3 linked regions of the Lepisosteus oculatus genome follow. The protein of the gene in region 1 interacts with the protein of each later gene in a pairwise test. Links are inferred from orthologs where the notes say so. Each region holds a gene or a part of one and is shown in the gene's direction. Other genes may lie near its edges. The genes, in order: rtn4a, cert1 and syt16.

Region 1 (7,690 bases):
TGGACCATTAAGCTGTGAATCTCCAGCACCACCAGCCCTTTTCAATAGAGCAAACGCAACCTCTGAATAGAGAGACTGGCTGCTGTACGACAAGAGCAAGAGGACCAGATGGATTTAGTCTTAGGCTCAACTTACCTGACAGACGCTCTCAGCACGCAGAGCAAAAGTTGCACCCGCTCTCACCCACTGAAATGCCCAACCAGGCGTCATCCACATGGCCGAGCAAGTTCCTAAGCTCTGGGCCTCGTTACGCGTCAAAACACAGCACAGTGACTCTAAGCACTGTAAACACTCTGGATAGGTTACGCCCAAAAACCAAGCCAAGCTGAACTGCCAATGTCCCTGAAGGGACTTTAACATAACAAAAAATAATTCCCAGCCTAGTCTCCCTGCGCTTGTGTAAAACGACATTGATAAGGGTGTGGAATAGACTCTAATATGAAAAAATGGACTGAGCCGGTAGAATAAGACAGCTTAGTTAAGAATGGAGAGTCGTCCTGGTGGGCGCTCAGTGGTGGATGAAGTGGGTGTGCTCTGATATGCAACGTGTATAAGGATCCTTGGAGATGAAAAGCGATTCATGAAATGCAATTAATGAAAGGGCTACGGTACATGGTGATTATTGACATGGGAGATGATCGATAGATGGATGACTGATAGATCTGGGTGAGGTGGTGGTGAGCCGCTCTTTGCTAGGTGCATCAGTACCATGAACTCCTGACCATAACACTCCCATTGCCTTTCAAGATATCTGCCATGTTATTGACTCTGATAACCAATGAAAAGCTGAAGCAGTTCAATTGTTCAGCCAAGGACCCCTGGAAGGATGAACCCCATTCCAGTCCTGGTCAGTATGGTTCAAAAATGTCTTATTTGTTTTCAGAGTTAAGGGATAGGATGGGCGTGTCTTTGAGCTTTAGCAAATAACTGTAGTAACATTTGGAATCATATACATGCAGAAATAAATATTATTAAAAGGACAAAACTGAAAAGAATCAGCTACATAAATGATCTTGTCCTCCACTCACTCCAGAAGTGTTTGATGTTGGAGTTGTCACGCCCTCTGTAGCCAGAGGGCGCTCCTTCTCTGTCCTGTCCCTAGTTTCTGGTCTGCTGTCCTTCCGGTCCCTCTCTTTCCCTTGGGCTATATTTTTCCGGGTCTTGCACTCTGCCGGGGCTCAGCATTGATGTTCGGATGTCCTGAGACCCGCCTAGCACCAGGTCGCCCCACGTCCGCTACCTGAGGGCATAGGTTTCTATACGGCATTCCTGAACTCTTTGCACTACGAGCACGGGCCTTTTTCCCGTCTCGCCGCTACGCAAATGGATCTTTTTCCGCTCTCCTGCTGCCCTCGGGTAGCCCCTTTGGACGTCCGTGACAGGAGTCCTGTGACTCAACACCACAACACCACAGATATCTACAGAGCTCTTAGCCTTTCATATCTGTGTTACGGGGCTGGAATGCTTCTGTGATTGGTTCACTGCTGCTTTTGGAAATAAAGGTGTCGGAGGGAGAGATTTTTGCACACGAGACATGTAAAACAAGACATTAAGAGTTAAGAGTTTTAATGCTGTAAATGCTGTAAGGTGAAGCTGGCATGAGCTTTGATGAGGCAGTATTGTAGTAAGTAGTTAAAACAACTCACACCTGAAGAAGGCTTCACATCCAAAACATTGTGTTTTTTTTCTTCTCTTTTCAGCAGGGAATAAACCTATTACTTGTTCCCTTGCAGCCTACGCATGCTGACGCAGCTCCCCACCTGAACTACTGTAAAAACAACGTACTTGTAAGCTTAAGCCTTATTGCCACATGTTGTTTTAAGACGTGTATGTCTCTCTAATTTATTTTTACTTCCACTGTATCTTTACTTGGAGATTTTGTTCTTCGGCCAAAGTCCTTCTTGGAAACTGGTTAGATCAGCAACTGGGCCCACTGCTCATATCCAGAACAAGCAAACTGGAACCCAGCGACAGTGGTCACTGTCTATTGTGGAAAGGCCATGGAGCTGTGTGTGGCACAGAGTAAGGAGATAAAAGGAATGATTAAACACAAACTGGGGCTGCTGGATAAAGGTGTTGATTGGTTTTAAACTGCTGGCAGAAAGCAATCAGTTTGAATTACTGGATTGGGGAACCGGATATCTGTTAAGCACATGTGCGGCAGAGATACACAGGACAGATGTGTGTGTAACTCAGCCAGCATGCACTGTATGTGGTGCAACAGTCTAGGGTGGGATAATGGGAAGTTGTGGTCATATGTACACAGATAGGGCAACTTTCACACTCTTCTGGGGAGAGACTGCAGAGGACGGAACAGAGAATCACGCAAAACAAAGCCCCCAAGATGGAGGGGTAGTTCAGTGCATCTCTCAACGTTGCAGTACGTACTGTCAGCAGGGGCTCTATCTCTTATAGAGTCGAAAGATCTGAGCCCTAAAAATAGCCCTGGTGCCTCAGTTTAGACCGCAGCTATTTCTGTTACAATACGAGAAACAGCCTGTTGCGGGGGAAAGGGACTTGGCTTTCGAAATGCCTCGTAGTCCCAGTATTGGACCAGCACAGAGGTGACAGAGGTAACCACAGGGCACGAGTCTTTGTATGTCACATTACGATAAACAATACAGTATATCTGCACAAACTGTAGAGGTGGATGTCTGCCCCGTGCATCATCAAAACATGGGAAGAGTTAATGTAATAATGTTAATGTTGCTTTATTAGCCCTATACAATTTCTTGCATTAGGAATTCGGCTTTTCACATACCCCAGCTTGCTCTCCATGAGACACAGACACATATACAGGGAGAGAAGCTTGGGATCAGAGCACAGGGTCTGCCATTGTACAGCGTCCCTGGAGCAGTTGGGGTTAAGGGCCTTGCTCAGGGGACAACAGAGTAGGATTCCTCTGCCGGCTGCAGGATTTGAACCGGCAACCTTCCAGTCACAGGCACAGATCCTTAGCCTTCGCTCCGCCCGTTACTTGTTACTAATGAGAGGAGGCCTTTCAGCCCATCTAGATTGTTTGTAATAATAAACTCCTTAAACTTATATAGCGCTTTTCTGGACTCTACACTCAAAGTGCTTTACAGGTAATGGGGATCCCCTCCACCACCACCAGTGTGCAGCCATAGTGCACCAGTACACTCCCCACACACCAGCTCTCAGTGGGGAGGAGAGCAGAGTGATGAAGCCAGTTCAGAGATGGGGGTTAGGAGATCATGACTGGTAAAGGTCAGGGGGAACTTTGGCCAGGACACTGGGGTAACACCCCTACTCTTTTCAAGAAACACCCTGGATCTCGTCCAGTTGTCTCTTTAAGACCTCTGGGGTATCAGCTTCAACAACAGGGCTGGCTAGCTTGTTCCGGGCTCCCACAACCCCATTGTGTCTGTTTGTGTTCAAGCTCAGGTGTTGGTGAGTTTCAGTGCTGGCGTCTTCCTATCCAAACAGCACAGACTCGCAGGGCCCATCGTACAGCAGAGAAAAGACTGGCCTCGAGCCACTTTACAAAGAGGAACGCGCACTGAAAGAGCACATGTCTGCAGGCACAGCAGAGAAAATGAATGGCTGAAAACAAAAAAAAGGGGGTTGTATCGGCAGCTGTCAGTAAAATTAACCCAAACGCAGAGAGGCAAAGAGAGATGAATTAAAAATGAAAGCTATTGTTAATGGCTCATTCATTTGCCAATGTGTCAGGCTTCACTGCTGCTGTTTACGTCTCAGTATAATGGAGACCCAGGCCAAGTTTGTATTGTAAATAGCTGAAGAGCAAGGCAGCTCTTACAACTGTAACTGCAGACATCTGCAGTGTGTCACAATCAGCGAGGACTCACGTGGATTCTTTCTCAGCTCTCCGAATTGAAAAACAGTGGGCATTGCCCACACCAAAAGGCCAGGAACTGACCCACAGGAACATACAGATTTTCTTAATCACCTAAATATTTAACGAGCTCCCTTTTGTAAACTTGAAGGGACACAGCTGTGTGTCAGCTCTCATAATTCTGGCTCTTTTTTTCGGAGTCATCCAGTAATTAGATGAGCTGATGTAACAGAGGGGAAGTCTATGAGGTCACCGAGTGCAGTCAAGGTGACCAATACTATACAGAAATACCTCTTTTGGGATGACGGTAAAAAAAAAGCTATAATACGTTATAGCTTGTTATAACGACTGGAATGTTATAATACGACTGGAATTCATTTATCTTCTCTTCCAAGGTTTGAATACGTCTTTACTACACGGTCTGTCTCTCACTGCTGCTTTATCAGCTACAATAACTGGAACATCTCCTTTTTATGGCGCACTGACAATATCGCCAGAGCCTTTATCGATCACAGCCTACACGCAGGACTGTATATCGTTAATTATTTACTTTAACAGCGAAGGTTAGGCCCGTGAAACCTGCCAGTGGTGGTACCGGCGTTTTATAACATCTTGGGGAAAAAAATGCACGCTTTTCGCTACAAGAAATGTTGCAGATAACTTTCGATCTGCTTTGTCACACTTTTCACGTATCCTCGTCTTCCGTGGTTACAGCCGCGTTACTAAGCAAAACTCCCAACGACACCGGAGATTGAAACCGCTGCAGATTGGTGGGAGCCGGGGGATGGGCGTGGTCCTTTGTTCGGCCCTCACCTTCGTGGCGGGGCGGTAGAAAAATAGTTGGGAGGGGGGAGGGAGGAAGAGCCGGGTTGGTCGGGGCGGACGTCAGTCAACCGAGATCGGCGCGCTGATTGGCCGAGGTCCGCTGAAGGGCTCCTCCGGGCACCGCAGTGTGGCGCGTTGCGCGTGCGAGAGGCTCCCTGTTCTGTCCTACGCTCTCGTGGCCGTGGCGCACTTGTTCAGTTCATCTCCGCCGGAAGGCAGCGACTAGCCAGCCCAGCGCAGCTACTCGGGGGGGGAGAGAGAGAGAGAGAAAAAAAAGGAGCACTTTCACTAGAAAGGTGTGTGTGTGGGGGGGAAAATCTTGGGTACACACCTTATAAAGAAGGGCTACACAGGGGGCGACTCCGGACACGAAAGAGGAAATGGAAGACGCGCAGCACATCTCGTCCACGACGCCCGGCGTCGATGAACTCCGCAAACTTCAGGGGGACCCCGACAAGATGGACGAGAGCAAGTTGTACGACGAAGCCGCCGGCTATCTGTTGCAGGAGAGCGGCGGCGGCTCGCCCAGGCCGCTGGCCGACGACGATATCCTCGACCTGGCCGGCGGCGCCCGGGATGCTCTCCTCCGGCACCGCTCCGCCACCCCGCCGGGGACCGGGGACCCGGACAGGGACCTCTACTCGGAGTTTGCCCCCGCGGCCGAGCCCGGCGATCTGCTGACGGGGATGGGCGGCTTCGGGGCGCCCTCGGTGAAGCAGGCGGCCGATAGCCCCCCGAAACCGGAGCCGCCCAGAGCCGCCCCGCGGAGCCCGGCCAGCGACCCCTCTCCCGCCTCCTCCTCCTCCTCCTCGGCGGCCTCCTCCCCAGGTGAGCACCGGTGCCCCTTTCGGAGGAAAAAGACAGTTTAATTTAGGCGTGTCTGAAGCGGGTGGGTACTTCACCCGGCCCACGGCCCCTGGGGGGGCCGCACTTCTGTCTCGCGGAAGTTGGGGCGCTAGACAATGGCCGTGGCTGCGCCCGAGGAGCCGGGAGCCTTTGTCGCGTGTGTGTTTGTGTTCCTGTATTATTGCACAAATAAAGCACAACTTCAATGCCGCGTTCCCGAGGCGGGGGGTGGCCCGGAGAAGCGCGGTCCGATGACTCTCACGCCGGTGCTGCCCACCTGTGTCGCCCCGGCGAGACGCGGGGGATCCGGGGGACCCGCAGCCGCTAACGGCTCCTTCTCAAACGGAAACGCAGTGCGCGGCTGAGAGAGATGAGATAGTTGTTTGCCCCTTTTGCACAGTATTTTAGGATCGCGTCCTGTGTGTGTCTGGGGGGGGTGGTAGTTCGTTTTGGGGTTGTTTTGGGGGGGTGAATTGTCCCTGAGTCAGCAGCCATTTTTCTCCAGCTCCTGGGTGGTCGAGATGTAATCAGGGGGTCGGGATAAGGACCTGTCTGTGTCTTGTCTGTGTGTGTTTTAGTTGCTATGGCGTAGTCCCATACCGGGGAGAGCTTGCACAGACCGTCGCGGCCGTCAAAAGATGTTTTTTTGTAATTCTTTTGCTGACGACGGGACTCCCCCTCCCTCCTGACTGATGCGCTATAATGCCGGCCAGGCTCTTGTCTCGGCGAGGCGGCTGGCTGGCTGCACTCGGACCCGACATCCCGATCCGGTTCGGGTCCGGTGTTCCGGGGTGGATCGACCGATGGGCGTGGGTCCGACAGGTGCTGGGAGTGAGATGGCCCGAGCAGACAGCCCCCCCGGGGGGGAGGGGGCGCAGATTTGGCCAGCTGTAGCCCTGGGGACGCTGTTTGGGACCCGACCCCCCCGCTGATCTGTGTGTGAAGTGATTAAGCTGCTGGCTTTTCTGGGGGGGGTGAGAGAGGTGTAGCGCAGTATCTGGGGGGGAGGCGACAGCAGGCGCACAGGTCAGGAGGCCCTGGTGGTGGGCCGGGCTGGGCTTGCTCCGACGCCGAGCAGACTGCAGCGCCAGTCTGCGCCCACGGCCTTGGAGAGGCGGGTGCGGTGTGTCTGCAACAAAATGATCTCCGACAGGAAAGTAGTCTCCATACGGAAACAGCGGACGAGCGGCCAGACAGAAATGAGAATCCCGCACATGTTCTTTAAGGGAAAGAAAGACCTCATCATATCATCCAGGCGAAACCTGTGGCTTCTTGATATCCGCGCTGTACCCCGCGCCGGGGAGGGGTACCTCCGGCGCCGGCTTTGTTTTAGTGGGTGATGTCATGCTCTGCGGCCGACAGGGGCCGTAATATACGATCCCACAGATAAGCACATGCTCGGCTACTCCTTATTTGTTTAATTATTTACAATAAAATACCTCTCGTTCTTTCAATTGACACACCGCCCTATGCGTCTAAACAATCGTATTAAAAAAAAAAGTGCAATCATAGGGATATGAATTAGACTTTCTCCAAGGCAGGCAGATAGCCACAGTATTCTGTCTCCAGTGCTTCTCAGGGTATTGTTTTAAAGCCCAGGGGATTTGGCCTTGATCTGTTTATCTTCCATAATCCCTTTGTACTGTAGCTGCTGATGCATATGTACCTACACCAGTTTCACATGCTGCACATGTTTTCTTCAGCTCCTTCCAATGTAGGACTTCTGTTCATGCAGGCTCGTTTACAAGGCATTCATGTAATATGTTCTGTAAGCATGTTACACGTTTTTTTTCCAATTAAACTGCTTCTCCTCCTCTACCCAAATTTCGGGTTTAGAAGAGAGACTTTGCTCTTATGTGCTTTTTTGGGCCAGATTTAGGAGCTTCATGAAAATGCCGTACCTAGCTCAACAGGACACAGAAAACCCATTTGGACAAATTCAGTTAAAAATGGCGTTTCATGTTTTATACTTTATATAATAATGTCGAGACGGTTGGTTCTGAAGGCCTGTGGGTGATGTTGCCTAGCCAGTTCAGGGAAAAGGGTTAATTCTCAATAACTTTGCCACCTTGATTGGCTTTTCAGAGGTCATGCCATTTAGCAGTTTGTTGTGTTTACTGGGTTTCTAAGGACCAAACTAATATAATCATCAGCTGCAGACCCTCAGATTATCTGAGTGCATGTAGCGTGACTGTGAGTCAC
Region 2 (7,564 bases), on another chromosome or scaffold:
AAAAATGTACTCTGTTATTGTTATTATTTGGCATAAGTAGTAGTCGCATGTTAATAGTAGAATGGGAATCGATAATAGATGTAGTACATGTCCTTCACAAGAGAATGGCAGTCACATCTCATTTATATTTAAAAAATCTCAGTTTTGAAACCAGACTGATTTCAACTATCTTTTTTACACTTTAGTTTCTGAAGCGCCTTTAGAAGATGCTGAGAGCTGCTGAGATTAGATTGGGATTAGTTGGGGGTTCTCTCAATTCTCAGTATAATCCTACTGGGAGTTTGCTGTACTGTCAACGAGGGAGACAGCTCATTCAGAGTAGCTCGAAAGTGGCTTGGTCAGACGAGTCTGCCTAGGCTTCCTCATTCTCCCAGAGTGCAGTCACTGGGATCACAGCTACCAGTCAAGGTGTCCACAACACACCATAGGTGAATCGGTTGTGTAAAACAGAAATAACTGGCAATCCTAAATGTATTTAAAAAACAGTACTGCAGGAAAAGAGATTCACCATGAATTGGTCACGACAATTACATAGACAAAAATAAAATTAACCCAACCCTTGGACACTCAGATTGAGAAGCAATGAATTGATGAAAAGACAAAGAAAAGCCATCATTTTATTCTCTTAGCCCATCATCAAGGGAAATCCATCGTTATTCAGGTCAATTTTCAAACGGAGGACTAAAGCAACAGTCAAAGCAGGGAGTGTAAGGCAGGGTCATATTTATGTAATTTGATAAGTGCAAAAACAGTTGCATACAGCTACAGTACAAACACCAAAACACCAAATGCCAACAAAAACCTACAGTACTCACTTTCCACGTATTATTAATCTTTTTTTTTTTATTTGGGAATTATCAGCTAAATACTGGAAGGCTGTTTTCTTTCAACAACAGAAAATAGACTAATGTGCTATAAATATGACTCAAACTATTTGTCTGTTTGCTTATGTTCTGACAGTTTTGAATCTGACATCTCACATAATATTCTGTTTGTGTAACTTTGCATACTGTACATTCCTGTTTCCTGAGGAGAAAAACAGAAGGAAAACGTCCTGTTTGGTATGTGGTGAGTTGTCAGGCTAAAAACCATGCATTCTGTTTCAACATCCATTCTTGTAATACTGTATGGCAGGGGGGTTGCAAAACCTAATAAGTCACTAACAGCCAGTATCTATGCTTTTCTAAAGCACAAACTGAGTCAATTTCTAATCTGTACAGTGATCTTTTGTTTCAGTGCAACTACACACAAAAAAGCTCTTTGATTAATTATTAAAGAAGTGTACACTGTGCTATTCATTAAGCTTTAATTCTGTTTATACTGTAACATAGTGAAACAGATGTTGAACTATTTTGCAACAGGACAACCTTCATTATTTTAAGCCTGTTAAAACCATCAGTACTAAATCCAGCTTACATCTCAAGATTTTTAAATGAGTCTTACATAATAGGATTCTCTTTATACATTTCCAGTACATCGCTTGGATGCAAATCCTATAATTTCTGTAATAACGTTCATCAGAGATTGGTCTGTCAATAGCACAATTATATTAAAGCATTCCTTCTGCCTAGTGTAATCTAACTCTTGCTGCATCAAAGGCGACCAGAATCATGACTAGAATACCATTAATTAGCAAGTTTTTACTTTGCTTCCAAGTACTGCAACATTAATCAAGAGTTTATTAACTTGAAACACAAAGTGCACCCTTCAGAAACTCTTTAAGCCCCCTTTTTTCCCCAAAGCACTTTCCAGTAAAAAAAGAACCTTACCAGTCCTTCTGCACTATGACTATTTAAAAAATAGCTTTTTTAAATTTTAGCTTTGATTTGAATGAATTTATTTGAATCTATATAGCTAAACCCAATAGATCTTTTTTGTACTCTTATAGTATGAGACCATTAACCAATTTTCCATATGCTCAAATATTGTAACCCAAATATTGCAGTTCTGAAACTAAGCAGTCACTGGTATTAATTCCTACGTTTTTAGTAACTTTATTCTTAGAGGAACACAGCGATCCAATGGATAGTGCAGCAGACACAGGGCACAAGGCAGAACTACATTCCGAATGTGATGATAATCCATTACATGGCACACTCACACAGGTGTAATGGGGTTAGGTTAGTGATGCCAATTCATCTAGACAGAATATATTTGAACTGTGGGAGGAAACCCAGCAAAAACACAACCAGAGAGAACATGCAAATTCCGTATACACAGCAGCCAAGGCCAGACCCAAATCTATGAACCAAGAGCTATAAAACAGAAGCATAAAAGTCTATAACACAATGCTGCTCCATTGCTATAAATGTATAGTCTTTTATAGTTCATTTAACAAAGATGTTGTGTACCACACTCTACACTCAAAGGCTTCTTGTGCTTTGTTTAACAGATCAAGTTACAGTACAACACTTAATATTGTGAGACTGAGACTGTAACACTAGATGAAAGTGTCTTGTTTTTACCATTTTATATCAGATTTTACTAAACAACTGCAAAAAAAACCATTTCAGAATATGGAAATTACAATGAAATACAGATCTTTGAAAATTTTGCTAAGGCAAGAAAAAAAGTATCGTGGCGCTCTTGGGTTCACGGGAGTATGCGCTCTCGCCGCTGCAGCCTCAGGTCGGCCCCCCACCGTCGGGGACTCGAACCCGGGCCTCCGGCGTCACTCGACAGGGAGCCAGCCAGTTGAGCTAAAGGGAAATCTCCCTCAGAACTGCGCTGGTAAGTCGGATGGAACAACCTGCAATGGTGGCCGTATGCGTTACAGTATTAATCAAATGGTAAATTTTACCGTTTACCACATGGAAAGGTTTAGACTTTTTTTTGGAAAAATACTTACTATTTGAAAACTCTTTTCTCACAAGTATTCCACCAAGAATATCGATAGATCCACGACTCACTGTAGAAAAAAACATAAACTTGTTTGAAAAGACATGGCTCGCCCGTACATTGAAAGAGAGCATTATCAAGTTGCAAACGCGTTTTTCTCCTACATTATTCATAGACACGGTACTTAAAAAGTCAGTTAGCTATTATGAGCTGTTAAAAACAGTCACATCATTACAAATTAATATGGTTCTCTCTCTAAAGTGCAAACTATTAACCACCTACTCTGCTACAACATCAAAAGCATCTGCTAATGCAGTAATTTGGGTCTATATTAATAACAAATCTGCTATTTTAGCTTAATATTAATGATGGAATACGATCAATGCTTCAACAGTTCTTTTGGGGGGTATTATAGAAAAGCCCGTCTTAAGTGCAGTAATGGAGCTGTCTGGACTTTCATTTCAGCAGAGGTTTACAGTTCAAATTTTAACTGACAGCAACTTCGATCCTTCACGGCTGGAGCGAAAGTGTCAGTAAACGTGGAGACGTTGGACAAGATGCCACTATCAGTCGAGCCAGACATTATTTTACACTTTGTGTCATTTTACATTTTCGAAATTCAGAAAGGAGATTTTTTTCTTCCATCCGTGTAAACATCTTCAGTACTTAATTAAAACACTATCACAAAAGAAAACAAATGAAAAGATGACTTATTTACCTTGGTAAGCAACATTACGCTGTACAATTAGCAGCCTATGTTTTACATGTCTTACGTGTAAATACCCATACACTTTACTTATTATAGTTGTACATTCTGCTTCTCTTCAATTCAAATTTAAAACGTTTCTTTAAGCGCCAATAAAATACAATGTCAACTTCCTGAAATCCGGAGGCTGGCTGGCGCAGAGGCTTTCGCGTTTCCGCTACCACGCCTCCTCCTGAGCCAGTAACAGACATATTTGTTGAGGGCAGATAAATGTAGCGAAAAATGCACATGCCCTTTTTACAGTCTTCTATTTTTGCATTATTAGCTTTACATATTGAAAATTTTCATTTTAATCCTCCAGCTTTATTTAAATGATATTATCAATTTAAATAAAATCCCATTTGTAAAATAATATTAGGTATAAAATAACATAAAATAACGCCTTTCAGCAGTTTTCAGAATAATTTTATTTTAATTCATGCTAATACAATCTTCACCGGCAGTCAGTGCCAGTTTAATCTCTTAAACATATGGAAAAATTAGGCAGTCTGAATAAAACTATTGCGTTTTTTACGCTTGTCAGCAGCTCTGGGTTTCCGAAATGTGCTAAACCAATGCATTTGCAAAGTTTATCTCTTAATCCTGACAAACCAACATGTACGCTCTTATCATAGGCGTTGCGAGAGAATGCACTCTGGGGAGACTGTCCTTTCGGAAATGGGCAGAAATTAAGGCTAAGTGACGCCTACCACCCTGTACACAAGCGACAGAAATAGGGAGTAGCAGAGTGCGCATGAACACCCATTCATGCCTGTAAACTAATCCTCGAAAGTGTGAGAGAAGCAAAAACAGCCCTTGCCACTGCCCGCGCCCCAGTGACATCCTTGACAACCGTTGCCACTTAGACATCGATTCCCGAATGACACTTCCTAATAGGTTCACCTCCCCAGCCGGGATGGTTCCCGTGACGTCAGCTTCAGAGCCAGCGCCCCTCCACTGTCCGTGGCACGCGCAGCACACGCACGCTCAGGAGGGCAGGAGAGCGAGGGACGTCAGAAAAGATGGCGTCTGTTTAGGCCAGTCGGTCTCGCCCCCTTCTCACACTCAGCTCGTTTAACACAGGGCTCTGTCGAGGAGCGGAGAGAGGGATTTGCGCATTTAAACCAGTTCTCCCGTGGACTTGGACGAGTGTTGTTTTAGCTGCTGAAGTTGTGACTCTTTCCTCGCCGTTGTGCTTTTTCACAGCTTCAGTGAAACCGATGAAGGGGGCGGGTTTTGCCGAGAGGATCATTAATAAGTGTTATTAGTTTTTATCCAGGTGTATCAGCAGTCATCGCCTTTGACCAGTGTTGTCTCGCATTTACCGAAACCCCGTTCTCTTTTTTTCCCTTGGGATTTTTTTTTTGTCTGTCTGAGTTTCGCAGACTGTTTAGCACTTCTGTGATTCCCTCGTATTTGGATTTTGCGTTCTGTTATCGCCGAGACGCGATGTCGGACAATCAGAGCTGGAATTCCTCGGGGTCTGAGGAGGATTTGGAAACCGAATCCGGGCCGCCTGTTGAGCTCGGTGGGATCCTTAGCAAGGTGAGGCAGCGGGTGGGGGAGATCAAATCCCAACGCCAGGTTTGCACTCTAAAATTCCCGATAAATGGAGGAATGGTTTTGCGTTAGTGGCTCGGATGGCTAGGGTCCGTCCCCCGTCTCTTAAACGGCAAGGGGTTCGCCGTCGTCAATTTTCTGTTTCAGTTCAGACTTTGGCTTAGAGGGATTTCAAACTGCCGAAGAGATCGGTCAGAAAATAAAATCGTTTACGTTTGTTCTCGTGTCCTTCAATATCCGGCTTGCCGAAATCGACAGGCAGAAAATGATGTAAAAAGTGTCTTGACTTGTTTTAACTGTGTGAGTGCTTTGGAAATGGGGAGTCTTCCACGAAATGCTGTAATGGGATGTCATTGTCCATCTTTTTGTTTTCCCGAATACTTTGATTTAAACCACCCGATCGCTAGTAATTGCCTAGCCAAAAGCCTAAGCAGTTTTGATTGCAATCTTTTAGTCCGTATAATATTTTTCCTTATCCGCACATCATCACGTGCATCATCTGGTCTGTCAACCGCCCTGCAATCCGGAGAGCGAGCAGAGGCCAATGTATTAACGCACTTGGCCCATATGTGTGTTATAAATGATCGAATTCATGATCAGTGTGCTGCTTTTATGTGGCATTGGGAAAAAATAAACCTGTTTGCACCCGAAGCAGCAAGGACGTGAACATACGTTTTTTAGATTAAACTAGGGTTGGAAAAATTAAGACTTCTCAGTTCCTCCGCACATGATGTCTTGGATATGAATCTAATCTGCTTTTGCATGTTGGTGCGAAAACAGATTAGCCTTTTCGAGTAAAAGGGCTGCGCAGTTGTTGCTTTAGGGAGTTCGGTGAGAGAGCCCTGTAGTGTAATAAAAATGTTTGTTTTTTTTTAAAGTTCCGACACTTTCTGCTTCGAGGAGGATTGAGGAATTGTTACGGGTGGCGTTGAAAAGCAGCGAAATTGACAACCTGGTCTAAAAAAAAAAACACGTGATCCGACTGAATCGTAAACGCTTTCTTGACTTTGGATAAAAGGTTTATTTTCCTATCAGATTCTAACCTCCTGCTCTTGGATTTCACTGGGACACAGCTTAAATGTTTGTTTTAATCGAGTCTCACTATGTGTAGTATATCAAAGGCTGTTTTCAAGACCGGCGGTGATTAATCGTGCCAAAATCTCATCAGTGTGAAATGTGGACAAGTCAACAGCAAAACCGTTTTGTTTCCTATTTGACGCCCAGTCGTAACCTGTCACGCCTGCGGACCTTATCATAGAGCAGTAATGTGCAGATCATGATTCCGACCTCGTGTGTGTGTGACTGAACACCCTTAATTTCATTTGATTAGTCTCACAGGTATTGTCGACTACCATAAATTAAGCGTTGAGGTCAATGTTAATTTATTACAGTATTCTTTAACCCACAGGGACGGAGTTTAAACATGTGGCGCAGTGGAGAAAAGTACCCTAAATAAAGCAGCGACCAACAAACGTAATAAATATTAAGACGTATGGATTCATTTAATCGTTTAAATAAAATGCGTAGGTACCTGACATTATCCCCCTTCCTTATTGATCGGCGCATCGATAACTGCATTGACACTTTTCGAAACGTTCTGTTGCAAACTTGAAATTCGCAGCCCTAGTTTTTCAATAATAATAAAAAAACATTTAGATACAAAATGATTTTTTAAAGGATCCTTTGTGGGTTTTTTTCTTCAGTGGACCAATTACATCCATGGATGGCAGGATCGCTGGGTGGTTTTAAAAAACAACACCTTGAGCTACTACAAGTCCGAAGATGAGCGGGAATATGGCTGCAGGGGATCTCTGTGTCTCAGTAAGGCTGTCATCACGGTAAGGCCTTTTAAGGCTTTCTCTACTGCCTGCATTATTGTTTACTCTGATAGGCTTCTCCGCATAAAGTATGTCTTCAAGTCGGACATTTAGGGTTCTCCAGGTGTTTTAGTAAGGCATCTGACCTGATATGTGGTTTATACCTGTTTCAATAACACATTTTTTTTTTAGCGGCACAAAGGGATTCTGGTATGGTGGTAGCTGTCTTTTAAGGAACACTTAAGCTAGGAATGCAAGAAGTGCTTTCAGTTTGGTGTCCAGTTGTCTAGCATGTGAAGGACAATATACGCTGTCAATTTCAGTTCAAATTCTAGGAAAACAAATATTTAATCCCCTAGTCTCTCAAACTGTTTCCTGTAACTGCAAGTTTGTTTTTATTTCTATTACTATACATGTTTTGGAGACACTTTTTCACTTCAGAATTTCCATACTCGCTTTCTTCTCTGCAAAGTATTCAGATCCACTCCTTTTAGCCTTAAGCATTAAACTGCTGTGGTGCAAACAGCAGGGGGTTTTGATCCAAGCCTACATAATAACCTGTAGTCGTGCATGTGGCATTTCAGCAACAGGTTTTGCTGGTATG
Region 3 (7,731 bases), on another chromosome or scaffold:
ACACCTCTCGTTTGCTGGGATATGCTTACAGGTCTACCTGTATAGCTATGATATAAGCTGTACAGCTATAATATCACAATATAATACCATCCAACTCACCAACAGCATGCTTCACAGATGTCAGATCACATCTGTAAAACACAAGATGAAACATGCATTTGTGCTTTAGTGAGGTTTATAACAAGGATTCCCAGTACCCCAGGGAATCTGAGCGATGTAGAGAGGGAGTGAGCTAGGCGTTTAATGTTTTGTCCTTTTAGATTATTTACCTTTGGAGGGGCTTTTCAACAGTTTTTACTCCGGAAGTGTTTAAAGGTTTGAAAATGTTTTGTTTTTTTTCACTCAATTTCAGAAAATGAGCCGATGTGTTTTTTAAGACCACCGCGTGAAATCCATATATTGAACCACTGAGCATTCCTCTTTCAAAATCACCCCTCTCTCCCGGCCACTCCATCCCTCCTCTCACCTCCCCCTCTGCAAGCCCTGCGTGAGGGCAGAGCTGTCCAGCACTGACAGTCAGTCCTGCTAGACTGTACACTCCCTTGTGCTCCCTGGGTCTTCAACACTTCCGTGGCTCATCAGCTGCTGCAGGGCCTTTGGCTTTTTTTCGCTCTGTGCTCCCAGAGTACCCCTGATTCTTTCTGTGAAGGCCTCTTGTCCTCTCCCCATGTGGCCGGATGAAAGACAGCGGGAGCAGGAGCTGCACCACTCCCGTGCCCGTGGTTCTGCTGTTGCTAGGGCCATGCACTTCTCCAGTTGCCAGGTAATTAGGTGTATTCTTGGCCGCCCAAGGTCCTTGCCTTTACGAGAGTGTAAATGGACGGAAAAAGCCTCTTTGGGTGATGTCAGTCTAATGAAGCGCATGTGCGTGTTTGAGCTGTCGGTCGTGAATAACCAGTGGCAAAGAAATAGGAGCAACACTTCTACGCCGGGGTTTCTTGCAAAGTAGCCAACCCAAACCAGTAGTGAAGCAGTGGGATTGTTTATGCGGCATGTCCACCACCATCCATATCCGCACACAGATCATTGTTGTGCTATAATAGATGTTCCATCACAGCCACGAGTCCTCAAGGCTGTGCTGTTAGTAATAGAATGGGAACTGGCTTCGTAGTCACAGGTAATGACATGTATGATAAGGGAATAAAGTAAGAAGGCAGCGGGGGCGCACCTCATCCTAGCCAGAGGTCTGCGCTGGTCTATAAGAGGACAGCCAGGACAGCCAGAGGGGAAGGTGTTTGCAGATAAAAGGAACAGTGATGAGCACAGGGGCAAGGAGGTCCTCACTTATTATTTTCTGTCACCTAGTATGTGAATCCCCCCACCTCCTCTCAGGGCCTGGTGTTGCCACTGGCGGGGCCTGCCTCTCTCCTCAGGGCCTGCCTGAAAGCCGCACACCAGCCTCTCCTCCTTGTCCAGCCTCTAAGCTCTCACCCTGCCGCACAAGACTTCCGGGTGCCATGGCAACATAGACCTCTCCTTTTCAGCGGGAATGATGGAGACATTGCCTTTTAAGCACTCTGTGCGGAAGAAGAGGCCGGTTACCAGGGAAACTGACCACTGTGCCTTCCTCGGGAGGGGGGAGGCCTTGTGCAAACCTCTGGCTCTCACAGGCACTGGCAAAAATAGCAGCCTGACATTTCAAGAACTCGAGGCCATGTACCCGAGCACTGTCCCCGCACGAAAACAAAGGGGTGACTGACTCCCAGCAAATTACATTTCCCAAACACCTTGAAAATGAATGTCTTGTGCAGAATATAATTCCCCAAAAGAACCTGCGTTTAGTTTTTGAGAGGAGAAAGTACAGGTAGTGTAAATGAAATCCCTGATTTAATTAGCATTGCTAAGTTTGATGTGGCCCAGCTTTGCAGGCGTGGGTGAAATCTGATGCAGTTTCATGGATATGCAGGGACAAAGGGAGAGATTCAAGGATACCTTTTTAACAGGAAGAATAGATTTTGTTTTGGCTTTTCAATTCTCAGTAAATTATGTAACATTCCAAATTAATAACATGCTTTTTTTGTGCAGGTCTATACAATGCACCCTGGGACCAGCCCCTGTCCTTTCTGTGCTGCGAGGTTAACGTGGCTCAGCTTGGGTCTGCGCTGTGAGGTGCAGCCGGCACACACCTACCACACCTGCCACTGAGCCAGGACCTTCTGCGGTGTCTGTTAATCACAGAGCAAACAGCATTCCAGCACAGCCCATACAGAGGCTGGTTACAGCCCGCAACTCTCTGGGCTCCTGATCCCAAAAGTCTACAAGGGTGCAGTTCCCACTGGGGCTTGTCTTTCTTCAAAGCTGGAGATGTAGCGCACAGTAGGAAGTGAAGGTTGTTTTGTCCTTTTTCTTTTAGAGGAAAACTTTTAAGCACACGGGCCATTTGTATGAGTTAGCATAAACCCCTAAGGACTGGCCAGACCTGCTTTTCCAGCCCTGCGAGTTGGAGGGAGAAACGGTATGTGGGATATTTCGGCGTCTGTTAGAGGCAACTGCTGTCTTCAGAGAATTTAGTCTTCTAGGTGATTCGGCAGATGGGACGTTGCAGAGGACCTTGTGGCTTCTTTGGTACAGACCTGGAATTCAGCAAAACAGCACTTGCACAGGAAAGTGCAGAGAAAGGTGGGATTGTTTGATGTTGGCTGTGAACGGCTGTCCTCTCTGTGTTGCTCCTGCTCTCCCTTTTGTAATCAGAGGTTGCTGTAGCTGAAGAGACGGCGACAGAGAGATACACCGCTATTCCAACAGTTTGGCAGTGTTCTGTAAATGTGTGCTGCTCACTTTGAGACCTGTTGCAACAGGAGCAGTGATGGTTCATTCTAGGATTGTTCTGGTGAGGACTTGAAAGTTTTGAGTTACTCCTGCATCCTACTAGCTCTCATGTAGTAACTATAGATGTTAGGAATAAATATGATAATAAAATATGTTAGAAAATGTGTTAAATATGTTAGGAACTTTAATTACTACACCTGAGAAAATAAAGATATCATTTGACACATCTCCGACGATAATTATTATACTATTCGGCTTAAGCACAGTATCATGCTTAACATCTGTGAAAGTCTGATGTACCTGTCTGGACTTCATAAGTGTCTAGATTTGCTCATATTTCTTGTCAGCTTGCGGAAGAAAATTAAACAAGAATAGAATGTGTACTGAGGGAGGATTGTGTGCGTGGTGCTATGTCAATAGAATGACAAATTGACAGTCTGAAATCCTTTGAAACGGAACAGAGGCAGTTTTACAGTAACAACGTTCAGGAATTATTGATGGCGGTTCTGTTATTTCTCGAACAAAGCCACTGTGGATCAGTATAAAGAGAGACCTTGGCTTATTGTATCTGTCAGGGCTAAAGCGCTGTCAGAAAATGCCATGGGAATGGAATAAAGAGAAACTGGAAGGAGAATGGAAGGGAGGGACTGGATCCTGTGCCTTTCAGGCAGTCTCTCCTTCTGTGGCGAGAGATGAGCGTTGTGAGTAGGCAGGACCGCTTCAGTCGAGAATGGCAATCGGTGTCAGCGCACACAAAACTACACAACACCCCCACTCCCTGCCCGCCAATCAAGATATCTTCCCACACGACACTGGCACAAAGACTCTGGTAAATGTCGTGAAGCGTCTGAGAGGTGTTTGAATGCATAATGCGCTCGCCCTGCGTTTGTTCTCAGCAAGCCCTCATCTGGGGAGCGTGCTGCGGCAACGGGGAAGAGCACAGTTGCTCCTCTTTGATGTTTCCAGCAGCCTCTGAAAATTCCCCTTCAGGGGGCGAGCGCTCACTGAAGACACCCGCTCCAGTGCTGGGTCCAAGACGTCTTCTCTCCCGAAGACATTCGCTCACAGTCTTGTGTACCTTGTTGAAGAGCCTGGTTGGTTCATGAGACCTCTGAGCAGTACATCGACAGTTTTCTTTGACTCTCATCCTCAGTCTTCCCATCCATTCACTTTCATCTGCTACAGAAAGATTGCTCCTTACCTCAGAAGATACAGAGTCTGAGCCGGTGACCTTATTGCTGAGTTGCCTGTCCTGTAAAGAACCTCTTTATCGAGGAGTCTGTCTTCCTGTCAGATTTGGGTGTTCTGCCTGACCGCTATCATGTCAGACTGAAAGATTTGATGTGGTGCTGGGTGGAGAAATATGACATCTGATTTCATTTTCTGCCTTGCAGGCTCTTTAGGCTTTGCGGCAGACAGGGCTATTCAAGTTGCTATGTAGATGTACAATGAATGCACTTCAATGTGCAAAAATGAGCCCAGTGTTTGTGCCTCCCATTTGACCAAGTACTCTGTTTGAACAATGAAACATGGGCTAGAGGGAACGAGTGAAAACTATGTGGAAGTGAATTTATGATTGAAAACAGGAGGCACATCTTTATCCAAAGGATTGTGAGATGAACAAGCTGCCCATGTTGTTTCCTTCAAGAAACCAGAGAGACCCTTGAATCAGTGACCTCCCATACAGGCTTTATGGGCTGAATGGCCTCTCGAGAGCATTTCTCTCCTCGCCTGTTCTGAAGTGCTGTTCTGTGTGTCTGTTTGTCTGTAGTCACACCTGAGGCCATTGGTTTCCTGTCTGCGGTGGGCGTCTTCATCGTGGTGCTGGCTGTGCTCTTCCTCTTCATCAGTAAGAAGCTCTGTTTCCAGAGGATCGGCGGCCTGCCCTGCCTGGAACACCGCAGGAAAAAGAAACGCTCCCGAGAGAAAGCAGGGATTCACGAGGGTCTGGGTAAGAGGCCGTCGGGTCTGCTAGGGGTCTGTGTGTGTCATTGTCAGGCTGACTGGCAGACTGTCTCCCTCACTGTGTTCTGGTCTGCTTCCTGTGAAAATCACTGCAAAGTCACTGAACTGCAGACTGAAGCCTGTTAGTAGAAATATGTCTTTTTAAATTGTTTTCTTCATTCTCGAATTACCTCTCACTCCAGTCATGTTTGCTGTGACTTTGAAGAACACATAGAACAAAAAATAAATCACAGATCTCCGCGTACTGCTTTTGGGCTACATACAAGAATGGGAGTTTCAGAATAATTTAATTTTCTCTCTATTCAGAGGACAGTATTTCCGCTTCTACTGTTTTAACAGCTCAGAGACGCACACTTTGGAGGATACTGTGCCTCAGTGGATATTGTGGTATGTTTTGGAACCTCGCTCCTGTATCAGTGTAATAATCAATAATAATAATAATCAATCTTCTCTCCCTCTCTGAGCAAGAGCACCTCCCTGACCGATAGCTGTTATTATTGCCAGGCCATTGAAAATAAGGTTGATTATTTGTTAAAACAATTTTATTTTTCCAAGGAGTTTTTAAGAGTTCTCAGGAGTGTGGTTCAATTTTTTCTTGTGTTGCTACAAATGTACACCTGTCCCGATGAGGTGAATTATCAAAGACAAGTGAGCCCTTGTTAGAGTCTGAAAATGATTGCCACGCTGACCAGAGTTTCATTCTGTGTGAGGGAATCCCCTGGCCTTGTTGACTGCATCCTACAGTCAAAGAGTCAACCAGTTGGTTCCTTTTTGGCATGACTAAAAATGACTGGGACCTTGCCCTTGGTCTCCTGTGAGGAAGACAACTGCAGTATTTTACTGGGGCTCAATTCTTCTGTTAACTGCATTGTATAATGCTTCACAATCACAGAGCACCCTCTTCTGGGCTTGCAAATGTGGTCGCTGCTATCCACCAGTGTATTAAGCGACTATAGTCCCCTAGATAGCGTAATAGGGTTGTTGGTCTTGATTGCATAGTTGGGGGTTATGTTCATTACTAACTGCAGCTGTGACATTCCCATCCTCCCCCCTGACAAGCCTGTGAACACTGTCGTCTGATGCTCTTCATCAGTGCGTGCCTTCCCACAATGCATCTGCTCACTTCCTGACAGTACAGAACTGAACAACAGTTGCCGCGTGGTGAAAGGAGGCATTGTGGTTGGCGTTGCGGCCTCACAGCTTTTGGATTCGGGGTTTTTGTGTGGAATTGGCATGTTTGACTCTGCATAGGCTTTCTCCCACCTTCCAAAAACATGTTGACGAGGTTAATTGATGTCTTTACATTTTTCCTCCGTGCTCGTGTGTGTGTGTGTCTCCTGTGCCGCACTGGTGTCTTGTTCAGGGTGCAGCCCTGCCTGGTGTCCTCGTCTCCAGGAGATTGTGATCTTAGCCAGTCCTGGAGTCCTGCAGATGAGAGCGGTGCTCTGCTGCAACCAACTTTCTGGTCTTGTGTTTGTCTAACAGACAATAGAGAATTTAGCTTCTGAAGAAGGAAGGTGGAGCAATCAAATAGGATAAAGTGAGGTATTACCAACCAGGTGACTAGATCAACCTGTTGTACCATCTGTTTAAATAGCAAGGCTTGTGAACATTATTATCATATACAAGCTTATATGAGATCAAAGAGCCACACTCAACACAATTATCCATTAAGGTTAGGCTGAGGAATTATTTCACATGCCAGTCACGCTCACACAATATTAGTAAAGAAGTGAATGAGGCACATCTTCATTGGCCATTACATGATCACATTTTTTTTCTAAGTAAATAGTCGCACCTGCACAGTACATGTGTGTTGACTTTAGTTTTCCAAAAGTTCTTGAATTTAGAGGCATTGTCAGTCATTTTTCCAAGAGATCTTGCCTTGAAAATGAAATAATAATCACGGGAGGCAGCCAGTCCACTGTCTCTTTTGCTGTGTTTGGACTATGGTTTAAACGGTAAGATTGAATGAATATAAGAACTGTGCAAACGCTTGACAGTGTGAGGTAATGGTGCCAATATCTGCTGTGCCCGGCCAGGCGACAGATAAGAGATTACAAAAGAGAGGAGGCTCTCGAACAATGTTGAAATACAGTCATACAAGAGCATTATGCAGATGTAACATTGCTTCCCTTTATTTGAATTCGGCACATTTTTCTTCACAATACGCCTCTGAGTCACTGCCCTGCTTGCTCTCCTGTTCCTGTGCCGCCCACCACAGGCCAGCAGTGATGTCACATGGCCAGGAGCTCAGTGCACAACGCGCTGGGTGAGAGCAAACTCCCTCTCTGAGGAACAGAGCGGTGAACCTGCAAAGGGCTTTCAGCGCAGTTTAAACCCAATTAAGGCTGCGATAATGGGCACTTCCCACCCGCTGAGTGTGGGTGAGTCCGAGTGTGTTTGTGTTACCTGGCGATGTGGAGGAGTGCAGTGCGCAGCAGGGCTTGGGTCAGGAGATTGTTTAATGAGCGCTGCGAGAGAAGTGGGAGCAGGGCAGCCTGGGAAATGGAAGCACTCTCGGGCAATTCTGCCGGCTGCCAGCTGTTAGCCGCACAGGCCAAAACTCCACATGGGGCGCCGTGGAGCAGAGTTTTCAGAACTGAGACACATGCTATTAATTTAGAACAGAAGACAGGAAGAAAGGTTCTAAACAAGAGGCAGCCCTTTGTCCCAATCATAACTTATTTGGTTACTAGTAGCTGAGTGATATATAAAGCCAAGTGCATACCTGAATGAATTTGTTGGATTATTCCCAAACCTCTCATTTATCAATGCTAGATTCCATGATCATTTCACTTGTATGGTATAGAGTAGAATTATATAGTAGTAATGATTGAAGCTTCTTTAAAAGGGTTAGAATGGGGCTGTAGTTCAAAGATTGCTTTACCCATCCACTCCTGTGTTGCATGTTTGGAAGTAATGTAGATGTTGCAGCCTGCAGTGACTCTATTCTCAGTGCACGTCCCGTGTCTCAGTCTGAGCCTGCTGGCGTTC

What was found.
Region 2: the proteins of rtn4a (region 1) and cert1 interact in binary tests that used the Homo sapiens proteins (3 or more experiments, as listed by UniProt). The link is inferred for Lepisosteus oculatus from reciprocal best matches to the Homo sapiens genes RTN4 and CERT1.
Region 3: the proteins of rtn4a (region 1) and syt16 interact in binary tests that used the Homo sapiens proteins (3 or more experiments, as listed by UniProt). The link is inferred for Lepisosteus oculatus from reciprocal best matches to the Homo sapiens genes RTN4 and SYT16.

Annotation. Positions count from the first base shown.
Region 1 is NC_090712.1:3,327,119-3,334,808, reverse strand, and holds the start of rtn4a (reticulon-4a), read left to right. Parts: upstream 1-4,669; 5' UTR 4,670-5,022; coding exon 5,023-5,470; intron 5,471-7,690. UniProt on the Homo sapiens protein: Required to induce the formation and stabilization of endoplasmic reticulum (ER) tubules. They regulate membrane morphogenesis in the ER by promoting tubular ER production.
Region 2 is NC_090698.1:43,350,574-43,358,137, forward strand, and holds the start of cert1 (ceramide transfer protein), read left to right. Parts: upstream 1-4,551; 5' UTR 4,552-5,032; coding exon 5,033-5,128; intron 5,129-6,846; coding exon 6,847-6,981; intron 6,982-7,564. UniProt on the Homo sapiens protein: Shelters ceramides and diacylglycerol lipids inside its START domain and mediates the intracellular trafficking of ceramides and diacylglycerol lipids in a non-vesicular manner.
Region 3 is NC_090703.1:7,514,798-7,522,528, forward strand, and holds the start of syt16 (synaptotagmin-16), read left to right. Parts: upstream 1-4,728; 5' UTR 4,729-7,731. UniProt on the Homo sapiens protein: May be involved in the trafficking and exocytosis of secretory vesicles in non-neuronal tissues. Is Ca(2+)-independent.